Linked DNA regions of Arabidopsis thaliana. The protein of the gene in region 1 interacts with the protein of each later gene in a pairwise test. Each region holds a gene or a part of one and is shown on either strand. Other genes may lie near its edges.

Evidence for each region.
Region 2: the proteins of ER (region 1) and AT4G07950 interact in a two-hybrid assay, tested with the Arabidopsis thaliana proteins (one large-scale study listed by BioGRID).

Annotation. Positions count from the first base shown.
Region 1 is NC_003076.8:3,416,501-3,423,566, reverse strand, and holds ER (enhancer of rudimentary protein), read left to right. Parts: upstream 1-2,874; 5' UTR 2,875-3,010; coding exon 3,011-3,013; intron 3,014-3,266; coding exon 3,267-3,372; intron 3,373-3,815; coding exon 3,816-3,936; intron 3,937-4,570; coding exon 4,571-4,670; 3' UTR 4,671-4,957; downstream 4,958-7,066. Other genes in the region: AT5G10820 (Major facilitator superfamily protein), read left to right, coding at 401-1,060, 1,168-1,272, 1,476-1,646, 2,116-2,691; AT5G10800 (RNA recognition motif (RRM)-containing protein), read left to right, coding at 5,185-5,270, 5,347-5,480, 5,658-5,703, 5,997-6,057, 6,157-6,303, 6,400-6,516, 6,618-6,783. UniProt on the Arabidopsis thaliana protein: May have a role in the cell cycle.
Region 2 is NC_003075.7:4,794,478-4,801,336, reverse strand, and holds AT4G07950 (DNA-directed RNA polymerase, subunit M, archaeal), read right to left. Parts: upstream 3,497-6,859; 5' UTR 3,186-3,496; intron 2,451-3,185; 5' UTR 2,428-2,450; coding exon 2,232-2,427; intron 1,952-2,231; coding exon 1,827-1,951; 3' UTR 1,542-1,826; downstream 1-1,541.

The DNA.
Region 1 (7,066 bases):
ATTTTGAAGTAATTGTTTAGGTGTTTGTTGATGTTGATTAGGATTTTTGAGTTTCGGTGGGAAGATGAAACATTTGACTTTCTCTTTTTGCTTTCAAGATCTGTCAATCATACTATCGAGTTTGTGAATTTTGGCTAATAAAGCGATTTGGTTTCGTTTTTGTAGAATTTCAGACTGGTAGTTGAAGAAAGACGTCATTGCTTACAAAGTCAACAAGGTAAATGTCATTGTCAAGTGGGAAACTTTATAATATATCTTTTGTTTTTCCTCGTGTGTGAATGTCTAAACCTTTTTGAAAGTCTAAAAGGCATTTCCTTTACATTGAAAATAACGATTAAAGGCTCTTGCTCTCGATATTTTGATTTCAGATCCAATGTTCATCTCCTAAACAGTCAACACCATGGAAACACTAGAAACTGAGAAATTCTTCTCAGACGATAAACCTCTCCTAAAACCAATTTCAGATCATTCTGAGATCAAGACAAAAGCAAGAAGAAACGCTGTCGTCTCAGTTCTAATTCAGCCCTTCCAATGGTTACAAATGCTGAGTTCTAGGCTAAACCTGAGCTTCGTGCTAGGTGTGGTCCTTGTGTACGGTGTAAACCAAGGGTTCTCTGGTTCGATATTCAAAGTCGTCACAGACTATTACTGGAAAGATGTCCAGCAAGTGCAGCCATCGGTTGTGCAGCTTTACATGGGGTTATATTACATTCCATGGGTCATGAGACCCATTTGGGGTCTCTTCACCGATGTGTTCCCTATCAAAGGTTACAAAAGAAAGCCGTATTTTGTAGTTTCTGGTGTTCTTGGTTTGGTATCTGCGATTGCTATTGTTGTTCTTGGTAAGTTGCCCGCTGCTTTGGCTTTGAGCTGCCTCTTAGGTGTCTCTGCAGCTATGGCCATTGCAGATGTGGTGATTGATGCGTGTATAGCAACAAACAGCATCAATATCCGATCTTTGGCTCCTGATATACAGAGCCTTTGTATGGTTTGTTCATCTGCTGGCGCTTTGGTTGGATACGCAACTAGTGGAGTCTTCGTTCACCAGCTTGGACCTCAGGTTGAGCCTTTACACCTTTTTAGTCACGTTTTCAGGACGTGTTCCCTTTAGATATCGAGATTAGAAACTTGAAATCTCGTTTTTCTGTTTTGTTTTTTCTGATATAGGGAGCATTAGGGGTATTAGCATTTTCGCCTGCAACTATCGTCATACTTGGGTTTTTCATCTACGAGAAAAGATCTTCTACTGTTCCTACACAAAAGACCAAAAAGGTGAGGCCTTAGCCTGTAATCTCAACTCCTTTGATCTCTCTCACAAGTGACCAGAATTGGCGTCGCAGCAGAATAATCCAAACAGAAATTTTCCTTGTCTTTATTTGTTTCTGCCGGATTATTGAAAATTCATGCCTCTTGACTTTATCTCATGACTTGGAATCTTGATCGAACTCTTGAGCAATCGTTTGAATTTTCTTCAGGACACAGATGGCTTAGGAGTAGCGGTGAAGGGAATGTGCAAAACAGTAAAGTACCCTGAAGTGTGGAAGCCATCTCTTTACATGTTCATATCCTTAGCTCTCAACATCAGCACTCATGAAGGCCACTTCTACTGGTACACTGATCCTACAGCTGGGCCCGCCTTTTCCCAGGTTGGTTGTACAATCCTGAAGAAGCTCTTTTTAAAGATCTTGATTTAAAGAATAAAGATAGTGGTTAAACAGTTTGGGTCTTATATAGATTGAGTTCATAGGAACCAGTATAGTTACTAAACGACATGGGAAGCTAGCAAAAACAGGTTCCCATGGATCGCAAGCTCAAGATTGACACTGTGGTAGTATGTCATGATATTATGTGAATCATATTTCAGACTGTTTCGCTGGTTTATATTAATCTCCATGGAGTCACTTCTCTTGAAAGCCTATTTTAGCTAGGAAAAATCTTGTCTTTAGGTTTGTGAATATCTGCATGCCTTATGAAATGGTGTTGAAATTATGATTGTGTGGTAGTGTCACATTGACATATAAAGCTATGGAGTTTCTGAACAAGCTAATAAAATTCTTTATCCAATAATGTAATTATGAGCTAGATTCAAACTTGCTTATTTTGGTCTAAATGCAGGAGTTTGTGGGAATAATCTATGCAGTCGGGGCATTGGCATCTATGTTTGGAGTTCTCATATATCACAAGAAGCTCAAAGGCTATTCCTTTAGGAACATACTCTTCTTTGCACAACTTCTATACGTCTTCTCAGGAATGCTTGATCTAGTCTTCATCAAACGCTGGAACTTAACTCTCGGGATACCAGATTCCTTGTTTGTGATAACCGAAGAATCTTTCACGAAGATGATAAGTAAGATCAGGTGGATCCCCATGGTGGTTCTCAGTACAAGGCTTTGTCCTCTGGGAATCGAAGGCACCTTCTTTGCTTTCCTCATGTGCATTGATAGTTTTGGACAGCTTGCTTCTAAATGGGGTGGAGGGTTTGTTCTTCACGCTTTTGGTGTCACGAGACACGATTTCGGAAATCTCTGGCTCGTGATTCTGATAAGGAATATTTTGAGACTCGTCACTGTGTGTTTCGTTTTCCTCGTTCCAGATTCCGATCATTTGGATGATCTTGTACCTTCTGATGTGTTGCCAAAGAAACAATCAGAAGATGATGATGATGACGACATTAAACTTTTGCTTCTGTAAAGCTATTTTGTATAACATGAAACATTTCGAACAGTAAATGCCTAACATGAACAATTTCAAAGAAACAAAATCTACTAATCAGATGGAAACAGCTTGTAGTTTTTTCATATTTTAAAGGAAATACATGCCGTTTTGTCGTACTATATCTGATGTCACATGTTAAGCGACAGAGACCCTATGTTATTTTACGATTTTGCCCTCTTGTTGGGTTATACAGTATTCGTTTTTCTCTCTCAAACAGTGAAACTTCTTCTTCTTCTTCTCGTCTTCGTCGTCTAAACCTCAAACTCTGCTAGCGAAGTCACAATATCACTCGAAGATGGTAATCGATTTCTTCTCCTAACGTTCCTTTTGTGTAGTTTTAGTGATTCCTTAGTCAATCGCGAAGAAATTTGAGCAAATCCTTTTGGTTAGATCGTGTTAGGTTTTCGAATATCGTTCCTTACGCAGTTTGAATCTCAGTTTCTGATGATTTCTCGTTAGTTTACGGAACATAGAGAAGGAAATTCAAACTTGTTTTGATTGTCTCAGTTCTTATAAGCTGACTATTATCAACTTTCTTCTTTGTTGTGTAGGCTAATCACAACAGTAGTAGGCACACAATCATCTTGTTGCAGAATTCTCCGAGCAGAGCTACGAGGACTTTCATGGACTATGACTCTATAGGCCAAGCTATGGATGGTAATTATTAATTTCGAATCATCATTCTCTAACTAGTCTACTCATTGTTGACTTTGGTTATGATTATGTTGAGGTTTATCTTTGTGGCAACAAGATGGATGATTTTGAATTACGACATGTATATTATATAATTCTGTAGCTATTTCTGTGACTTATTAGGAAGTTCAGATTTTAGTACCAGTGCTATAAGCTGATTGATATATAGTGTGTGATGAGTCTGCTCGGTAATAAAGTGGTAATAAAGTGGTTTGTATTTTGATTACTAACTTGTTTGCTCAATAAAGTGGAGGAATTAGCAATGTAGAAGAAATGTAGGTTTCTTAAGTTCATTACCTCTCTTCCGAGTGTTTAAGTGAATTAAGGAAGCTGTTTTTTTGTTTTTGGTTTTGTAGAAGCAATAAGTTTTTAGCTTGCAACGCTGATTTTTTTCTGGTCGTAAACAGGTATTTGCGGCTTATATGAAAGGAAGTTGAAGGAAATTAACCCTTCTCTCAGAAATATTAGCTATGACATTGCTGACCTTTACAATTTTATTGATGGTCTTGCTGACTTGAGCGCTTTGGTGTAAGTCTTGCCCCTTTCTCTTCTCTTAAATGCTTTAGGTCCTTCCAGGTACTGTCAAATTCACATCACCCTTTCACATTTTTACATAAACTAAAAGGAGGATCCACATTGCATCATCTATAAAGAGCATGAATTGTGTTTATTCTTACTCTTTCCCTCTAAATAATAGTATTCTGTTCCCACTCATACCATTCTTTTGAATTCCTGGATGTTTTGGTAGTCGTTAAAAACATTTAGGAATGTTTAAACTCAAAGCTGCAACAGGCACATGCACAGTTGTTCTTTTGCAAAGAAACTTTCTTCAGAAATTCTCTCTTAATATTCGATAAACTGCATATATCTTGTTCTTAACTAGTTCTCCACTTGCAAGTTCACAGTAGATATTATAGAAATCTCTTGCTAGTAATGTTTATAGAGATTAGTAGGATTCCCATGTTGTATAACAAAACTGTCAATGATCATTTAATTGCTAGTTTGCTACTAAGTTCATTGATAGCTTGGTGCTAATTAAACAAGTAAAGAATCATTATTAGTATCATGATTTTCCTAAAAAGATGGTTATTGCGTGTGAATCGTGAAGGGATTTGTCAATGTTCTTATGATTTTCTAACAAAATCCTCTGGTCATTTTGCAGCTATGACCACTCGATAAGTGCATATCTGCCATATGACAGGCAATGGATTAAGCAGAAGGCATTTCACCATCTGAAGAGAATTGCCAATGGAGGCAGATGAAGAAGAAGCATCATATGAAATTGTCTTACCTGAAGAAACATATGTTGAGAGAGGCCATTTAAAGCATCATCACTCGTTATTATATATATTTGCCAATGTAACATTAATTAATATGCATAGAAAGAGTTGTGGTTCTCTTGGATGTGTTAGCCACTAAAAGTATCTTTGCTATCCAAATTTTAAGCTCATTTCTAGTTTCTATATCAAATTCTTCTTCTCAAATTGATGAGATATTTTGAATCGTCCTCGACTAGAAATTATATCATACTTCGTATAAAGTAATCTTTTTGTTAATAAGTAATCTGATGATATAAGATTTGTAAATTTTAAGTGAACAAAAAAAGAGTGTGTATTATTCTCTTTACCAAGAAAAAAACTGGGTTAAGACTGAACTCTGAAGAAGGTATTTTCTGGAGCATTTTAACCTTTATCTCTCAATCTGCGTTGAGACTAGAGACCATTTTGGTGCCGTGCTATTATCGATTGACAAATTTCCGATTCTGAGAAAAGTTGGATGGTGAAAGATGAGTTCTTTCTCGATCACCCTGGAAGAAAACACCGTTCCAGAAACACAGAGAAGAAGAAGAAGCCAAGAAGAAGGTTTGTTTCTTCTTTTCTTAGCTACCAAAATCCTCAATAGCCTCTATTGGTTTGAATAAATTTATGGTAAATGCAGAGAGCGGAGGATGAAACAGCTCGTCTGTATCAAGAGTCCGTGGAATCGTTTCAAGGGGATAATGCTGCAGCTAAGACTTTTGTTAGAGGTGACAATCAATCCCAATGATAATAAGCTCAAGCCTGATTCTCAAGGTTAGTCTCTTGGAAACCCGACATTGCTTCATCTAGTAGAACTGGAGGCTAGTTTTTCTGTGTTTCATTGAATTGTTTTGATCATGTAGATTGGTAGAATTATGTTTCTATTACATTGAGAAACATGTTAATTAAAAAAAGTATGGACGTTTTCTTCTATGCATTCACGGATCACAGGTGAAAAGTCCAGAGATGGGGATTCCATTTCAAAGAAGGGGAGTAGGTATAACTGTGATTGCTTTTGATTAATCAATCTCTGTCATATCTAATTTCTAGTGTAGGCCTCTTTGATGTGTTTGTTACAATGCTAGAGTTAATTCCATTTCTCTTGTGTTTGTGATGTTTTGGAGTACAATAAACTTCTGTCATCTGCACATAGCAGTTAGCTGAGGTTTCCTACTTCATCAGTATAAACTGTGGGTTTTGAGATGTTGTCCATGCGTATGGCTTGATAAGTTAAAACCAATGTCCATGCTCTTGTGATATAGAAGATTGTCTTCCATGTAATTTCTACAGGTATGTTCCCTCCTTTCTCCCCCCACCATTGGCATCTAAGGGTAAAGGACCAGAGAATAAGGTCAGTAGTTAGAGACCATATCAGTATTTTATATTATTCTGGTTCCTGATTTAAAGTAATGGTTTAACTGATTATTAGTACAATTTTTCCTCTTTCTAGAGGGATGAAGAGAGATCAAAGGAGATGGAAAAGGGAAAGACTCGAAACATAGATCATTTTGTGGAGGAGCTCAAGCGTGAACAAGAAATAAGAGAAAGGCGAAACCAGGATCGCGAGAATTCCCGTGACCATAATAGTGATAACACGGTATGTCGTCATAGTCTTTACTTTTAACCAAATACGTACTGTTGTTTATTTAGAGATACGTACTGCTTTCTGGTATTAAGGCTGTACTTCTCTCAGTCATCTAGCCGCTTTGATGAGCTACCTGATTATTTTGATCCCAGTGGAAGGTTAGGGTCATTGGACGATGGTGACCCACAAACTACAAATCTATATGTTGTGAATCTTTCATCTAAGGTTTGTTCTCATCCAACTTAAATACCTGCGTTGTTTTCCATAGCTATATATCATAATTTTCTTCCCTTGCCTAAAACTTTTGTGGTATTGTCTTTTTTTAGGTTGATGAAAATTTTCTTCTGCGGACTTTTGGAAGATTTGGGCCAATAGCTAGTGTTAAAATTATGTGGCCAAGAACAGAGGAGGAGAAAAGGCGAGAAAGGCATTGTGGCTTTGTTGCTTTCATGAATAGAGCCGACGGAGAAGCTGCAAAAGAGAAAATGCAAGGTTAGCTATACCGTTCAGTATGGAACTGTGTATGTTCATGCGAGGTTCTCAACTTAAATACGTTCGCAGTGTACAATATGATAAAAGAGCAAAAGATGAAGATTATTTCTAGATTTGTTTTCTCAGGTTCCTGCATAGCGATAGCATTTTAACTAAAACTTCAGATCAGCATATTTTAGTAGGTTCTTTAGTGCAAAGCCTGACTTTTCTTATAAGAAATTGCTTTAACGTGTTCAGTTGAAGGCATACGTAAAGAGTTCATTGTTTGGTCAGTGTTACTGCT
Region 2 (6,859 bases), on another chromosome or scaffold:
TCACAGGTGTAAGTATGATATTGTTAGAGGATACATATGGGATGTCGTTTCCATGAAGTGTCCGAATGTACTTTTATGTTATGAATATATTATACGAGGATTTTGTCCCCTACACATTACCATAAAAAGAAAGATGGAGTGTGTAGAATTACAAGATAATTTATTATGATGAAATAGATAATTAAAATGTATAGTAAAATTGAATGTGTATGATTAAAATTTTATTTAATACAAATATTTCCAAATTAAATATTAGAAAAAATGTCTGGATCAATATTTACTATTTAAAATTTAAATATTCTTAATGAATATTTGAATAAATTTTTATCTTACATCCGCCTATACACCCGCCTATATAGGCGGACCTTATCTAGTAATTATATATAATGAAGAACTCAAAATAAAGCTCAAAAAAGCTTGTGGGAATTGTTGTGTAATATGAAACAGAAAAGAGATACAAAAATGTGAAAAGAAACTGATGGTTTCCGTTTCATGTGATATTTGCAGTTCTTTAACTAGTTTTTGTTTTCTTTAAAGGCATTGATATTTTGCATTTACAATATGTCAACTTCAAGAAGAGTAATGTGTGAATTACAATGTCATTCTTTAGGAATAAGCTCTAAGATCATGGGTTGGCACAAGCATCCAAGAGCGATCAGGTCTAACCATGCTCTGCCCCAGATATTATCCAAGTGTTAATTAGGAGTGTCCGTCCATCATGTAAGATCGCATCTTTCTTGACAAGCTTCTCTACTATAGGCTTCTCTAGAAGATCATTGACTAAACTGATTGTATAGCTTTCAGAAAGAGACTCAGATTTGGATGTGACAATAACACCATGGTTGGAGGCAATATCGAGAGTGTTAGGCACAGTAACTATGGAAGCTGCCTCTTTAGGGGAGTGATTTTAAAAGCATCAAAACAAGGAAGGACGTCTCCAATAAATAATCCACCTTCACAAATGAAACTCAAAAATCAGCATCCACACATCCTTGTCTGTTTTACATAGCTTAAAAAAGGAAATCACCGTTGTCTTTGAAAGCTTATCTTGCACATGAAGCGGTAGCAAGAATATGATCAAAAAGGAGAGGAACAAGACTATCAGGGTCATGAGCTGCAAGATAAGGAAGTGTGAGGAATACTTTCCATCGTATGAATAATCTAACCTGTCAACACAATGTGTATCTCGGGACCAGGATCAACACCCGATTTCTCATAATGGCGAGCGAGAGAATAAATGGCGTTGAGAGTAGTAGCACCATACCCGATCCGTTTGCCATCTGGATCAAGAACGACCAAAGTCGATAGTGGAGCTAGCTATTCGTCCCATACGTTTAGCTTGCCGGAGCTGCCACTCGTAAAGCTTCGCCTATTCAGAACTAGTTGCTAGTCGGGAACCTAGTGGGATGGCACACCGAGAGCCTTAAGTGGTACCATGACTTGCGAAAAACGGTGGCTAATACAGTTTTTTTCCTCTGCTTAGACATCTTCTTGCTAAGAAGACGAAGAAATGTGAGAAATTGAAATCTGGAGGTTACGTTAACAGAGGAAGAGGAAGAAGTCAAATACCAATGCAATAACAAATACATCGCAGTCTTGATACTAAAAATCTCAAAACAGATCAATTTGCTTACATTCTTCACCTCAAAAATTAAAACTTTGCACAATATTCCAAAATTTTATCGATTGTTTTAAATACAGAAACTCTTGAGCTCTGAGACAGAAAGAACCAGAGTACATAGAGGAACTACAAACTTTGTAATGGTAAAACAAACTCAAAGAAGATTGCAAAATTAGCGGGTACAGAGAAGGTGATGATCATCGGTTCATTCCTCACGCCAAGTGAACTCGCACTTCAAGCATCTATAAAATCTTGATTCTGGCTCATCTGCTGAACGAATCTGCATTGATTTGAAGTACGCCTTGTCGTGGCCACACCTTGGACATGGAGCTGTTAAAACAAAACAATCCCAACATGAGAAAGTCATTGAACAAAAAGTCTACTCTACTCTTTCCCCAAGTGTTTTTGCACTTGCATACCATGAATGATGTAATACCACTTTAGCATTATTGTTTTTGCCCTTTCCATAACATGAGTAATTATGTAACTGATTTCCACCAATCAACTTTAAAGTATTTACGAATTTAGTCGACCAATCAACAGAGCATGGACTAACTAACTAATCACAGTTCTAAATTTAGAATAAGAGAAGACCAGAGACTGAAAATACCTTCTGTTTCAGCAGCTGTGGGTATATCATCTTTAGTAACAACAGGTTCTATAGATTTCTTAACCAGAAGTTGCTTCTTCTTTATCTCAACCCGTCTTTCGATATTGGCAACGTATGGACATGTGGAACAGAAGAATCTCGAACTCCCACCTCCCTCGTAGCGCAACAGATTCCCACATGTGGGACAAAACTCCATCTTCCACCTCACCGATCAATTCGCTGCAAAATCATCCCCCACAAAAATCAATTCATAAAACTATGATATAGACAGATATATAGAGACAGAGAGAGGGAAGGGCTGTTTTTAATACATTGTTCTACTGTGTTCGTGTAACAACCAGTTTTTACTTTAATAGCAAGGCAGGTCATGAAGTAACTTATAATTCAAGTAATCCATTCTTAACCGGAAATAACCAATACTTTTCCATAAATTCAACTTTACATTCATTAGACTTTGGTTTAATAATGAAACCAACTCCAAAATCTAGCAATTTAATAATACCACAATTCAATCCACTGACTTAATAATTCGATCCACTAATCCAATCTATACTCACGAGTGACGACCACATTCTAAACCAACAATTCAATTTTTATTGCCAAGATTGACCACATTTTCAATAGAATATACATATTTAATCAAGTGTGGTGAAATCAACAAACCCAATAGCGAAGCTATTGTTCATACATAAACACAAGCACGAAAGAGAGTTTCTGTAACAACGTTTTGACTTTTGACAAATTTGCATACAGAGTCAACAAAAAGTCGAGATCTTTGTGTAACCAAAAGCATAAGAACCAATCAGAACAGTTAACAATAAAAATGATTAAGCCAGAAAACCTAGAACACAAATTCGTGAAACCCTAAATCTCAGAACAAAATAAAGATCGAATTCGCAAGATTGAACAGATCGACATCATATGAGATCGAAATGATTAAAAAATCGAGCTTACCAGGCGATGCGGGTGGTGTTGGTTACGGAGATTGCGGACGAGACGGCCTAAAGTGGCGGTCTCAGCGGCGGCGATAGATGGAACCTTTGACGGCGATAGATGTAACCTTTGACGGCGAGAGATTGATGTTTGTTTATATATTAAGGCCCATTTGTTTAATTCTCTGGGCATTTAGGCCTCTTTTTATGCTTCTTCTTCTTTTCTTGAGTGTCTTAGGGGTTGATTGGAACAAAAATTAAAAGCCAAAAATTTACTAATCCCACTTTAAGGACTTTATTTAATTTAAAAGCTTTTAAAGTCTATGATTCATAGGCAAACCGACATTTTTGAAGTATCCAAGGAATCTGAGGTAACTGGTTTATTTTATTCTTTTTTTTTTTTCACATAAAAGTTTTTTTTATTAAAAGCATAACATCTTACAATACTTCAAGTACAAAGAGACAAACGCTCAAACCGGTTATTCAAACCCGGTATCAGAGACGGCAAAAAGAAGCCCATTACAAACATAAGCCCAACAATTCATGAAACCACTGGTTGAAGGAAGAGTCGATCATGTCCAGCACAGATACACGTGTCACGAAAGGAGACAATGATGATAACACGTGAGACGTCGGAGTTTTAGGTCATCGTCGGTCAGCCGACATAGTTTGCAACCGAAAGGAATTCTTAGTCACCGGAAAAAGTCGTAACGAGCATCAATACATCAAGGCTCAACAATATCCGATGAACATCACCACCAAATTCAGAGAATCCCAAACAAACTTCGCCGTTAGATCTGCAAAATTGAAATCTTCCATGGATAAACGCAGTTCATGAATTCCGGGATCATCGACTTAAAAGATAAGCTGACAAGGCTTCCATTATTAAACCTAAAAAACAGGAAAGATAAAACGATTCACATGCTTTGGTAAGAAGAAATTAGCCTCAATTACGTTAAAATCAATCCAACGACAACTCCAATCCGCAACTTCAAATCCGATTTTTAAAATTGAGAAAATTAGCTTGAAAATCGAATTAAGCTCTTTAAACAAAGAAGGATCAGAGAATTATGCAGTCAAATCAAAGGATTAAAACGCAAACTAAATCCAAACAAACTAAAGCAAAATGAATCGAGAGAAAACGAAAATAAAAACAAAACCCCAAAGCCAGCCAACCGTCGCTTAAGAAGCCGACGGATGCCAGAAGCAAGCTGACAAACGCTGTGAAAAGCATTGACGGACGGCGGATCGGACATCTCTGCTAACAAAGCCAGATGATGCCGTGAAAGAAGCTGACCAACTACTGCATGAGAAGCCGGTGGATGTCAGACTCAAAGCCAGCGTTAAGAAACTGGACGACGTTAATGGATTTTGTGGAACATCAAAAGAAACTTGGATGTGGCTCTCTCTCTAAAAGATATTAGAGAGATAAGAGAGAGAACTCTCTCACACTCCCGGATGATGGAAAATAAATTAACTGCTTTATTTTATTCAATTCAGGTTCAGTTTTTTAAAGTCACAATGTGAGACTTTTTGGGCTATAAAACAAATAATAAAATAAAATCTGTTTTTCTTTTTTTTTTCTTTTCGTTTTCTCCATGACAAATGAAAAACAATTTCTCTATCAATAAGTAATTTAACTCAAAAATATTTTGATTAATTAATAATCATCTTTCTATTTTCACTTTTTAGAGATCCAGTTTTCATTATTTTTTTGCATCAATTGCATCACAGTGATAGTTCATTGATCCAAAACACCTAATCAGATCTTTATATGGATTAAATATATTTTTTATTTACTGAGATTTGAGTATATTTATCTATTTATTTTATTTTGTATTTTTCTAAAACTTATAATAAATTAATTTTGTTAGTATATTATCACAAAACTCATTTTCAAATAATTCACAATTCTAAATATATATTGTAAAAATAATAGTAACAGTTTCTACAGTTTTTAGTTCCAATCATACTTTAACAGCCAAAGTTTTTAAAGTCAAAGTCTTTACAGCCAAATTCTCTACAACCAAAATTTCTATAGTCAAAGTCTGTATAGCCAAATATAACAGTCGTTACCAATCGACCCCAAATTTTTTAGTATTTCGGCTTTGTAAAATTTCTTGAAAAGTAACCACTACTTCACTTAACGATAGAAGTTAGAACGATCAAGGCATAAAAACCGGAACCAAAGAACCAAACCAAACCAAGCTGAAAAAGGGTTCCGGTTCGTATCAAGATACCACTAAATACTCCTGTTGAATCTCAGTCAAACTATCCATTGGATATTGGATATTGGATATACGGTATACGCAAACCGAAACGGATATCTATGGATACCCAAATCGAACCAAAAAATATTTGGTCAACTCTATACAAAACTACATCTAAGCCAATACATTTTTAAAAAACCTATCACCCAAAAAAGTTTTGTTAATTTTTTAATATTTTGGACCATTATTATTTTGGTAAAAAAGTTTCGGATATTTTTCGTTTCTTTTTTTGGTATTTTGAGTAAAATGATCAAAACCGAACCGATATCTATTAGAATTTGGTAATTTGTCGGCTCTCTTTCTAAGTATCTGAACCGAACCGAAACTTTTTTGGTTCCCTTATGGATCCTAAGAGGCTAGAACAGCATAATCAAACGCCCAAGCCTAATATTTATGTATTAAATTATTATAATAATAATTCAAATATTCGAATTATTACATAAGTTTTACCAAAATATGCAATTAACAAAAATAACGATAAAAAGATACAACCGCAAATAATATTAATAAAAAGTTACGATAAAAAGATACAACCATTCAGAATCAAATAGATACGGCTATAGTTACACAAGTATAACTGTCCGAAAACATAACCATAAATATTTTAAAAATATTTGACAAAAAAAACACGACCGTAAAACAAATTTTAAATATTTTAATGAAAAGTTGCGGTAAAAACGCAACCGTTTAGAAATGCAAAAGACATTTATTGAGATTGTTATTGCTATTAGATTCCAAAAAACTTTGGTTAGATCAAGAATTAGAGCAATTTCTTTCATATTAAAATGATGTATGTAAGTATGTTTATAAATAGTTTAGAGAGTAAAGAATTTGGAGCCATTTTCCAGATTATCATTTTTTAATTCATCATAAAACAAATAATATGTGTGAATGAACAAAATATGGTTAGGAAGAAAGACAAATATATAGAGTTCAAAAATCATAAACATTTAAATAAACAACTTTGTTTATACGGAAAGTAGTGAAAAGAAATGCAAAGAAATATAATGTAGAGACGTAACTTTAAATGAATATATGCAACAATAAAGACACAATCGCAAACTGAAAAGATACAATTGTATTTTGAACAAATATAACTATCAAAAAAAAAAATCGTAAATATTTTAGCAAAATGATGCGATAAAAAAACACAACCCTAAACTGAAAAGATATGACTGTAGTTGAAAAAACATAACTGTCAAAAAAGATAACAATAAATAATTTAACGAAAAGATGCAATAAAAAGCCACAACCGTAAATATTTTAACAAAAAATTGCGATAAAAAGACGCACGCAACCATTTATCTGCGAAAAGATACTATTGTAGTCAAACAAAATAACATTCAAAAAAATATCATAAATATTTTAACGAAAAAATGTGACAAAAAAAACAGCCGTAAAAACATAAACGTATATATTTTAACGA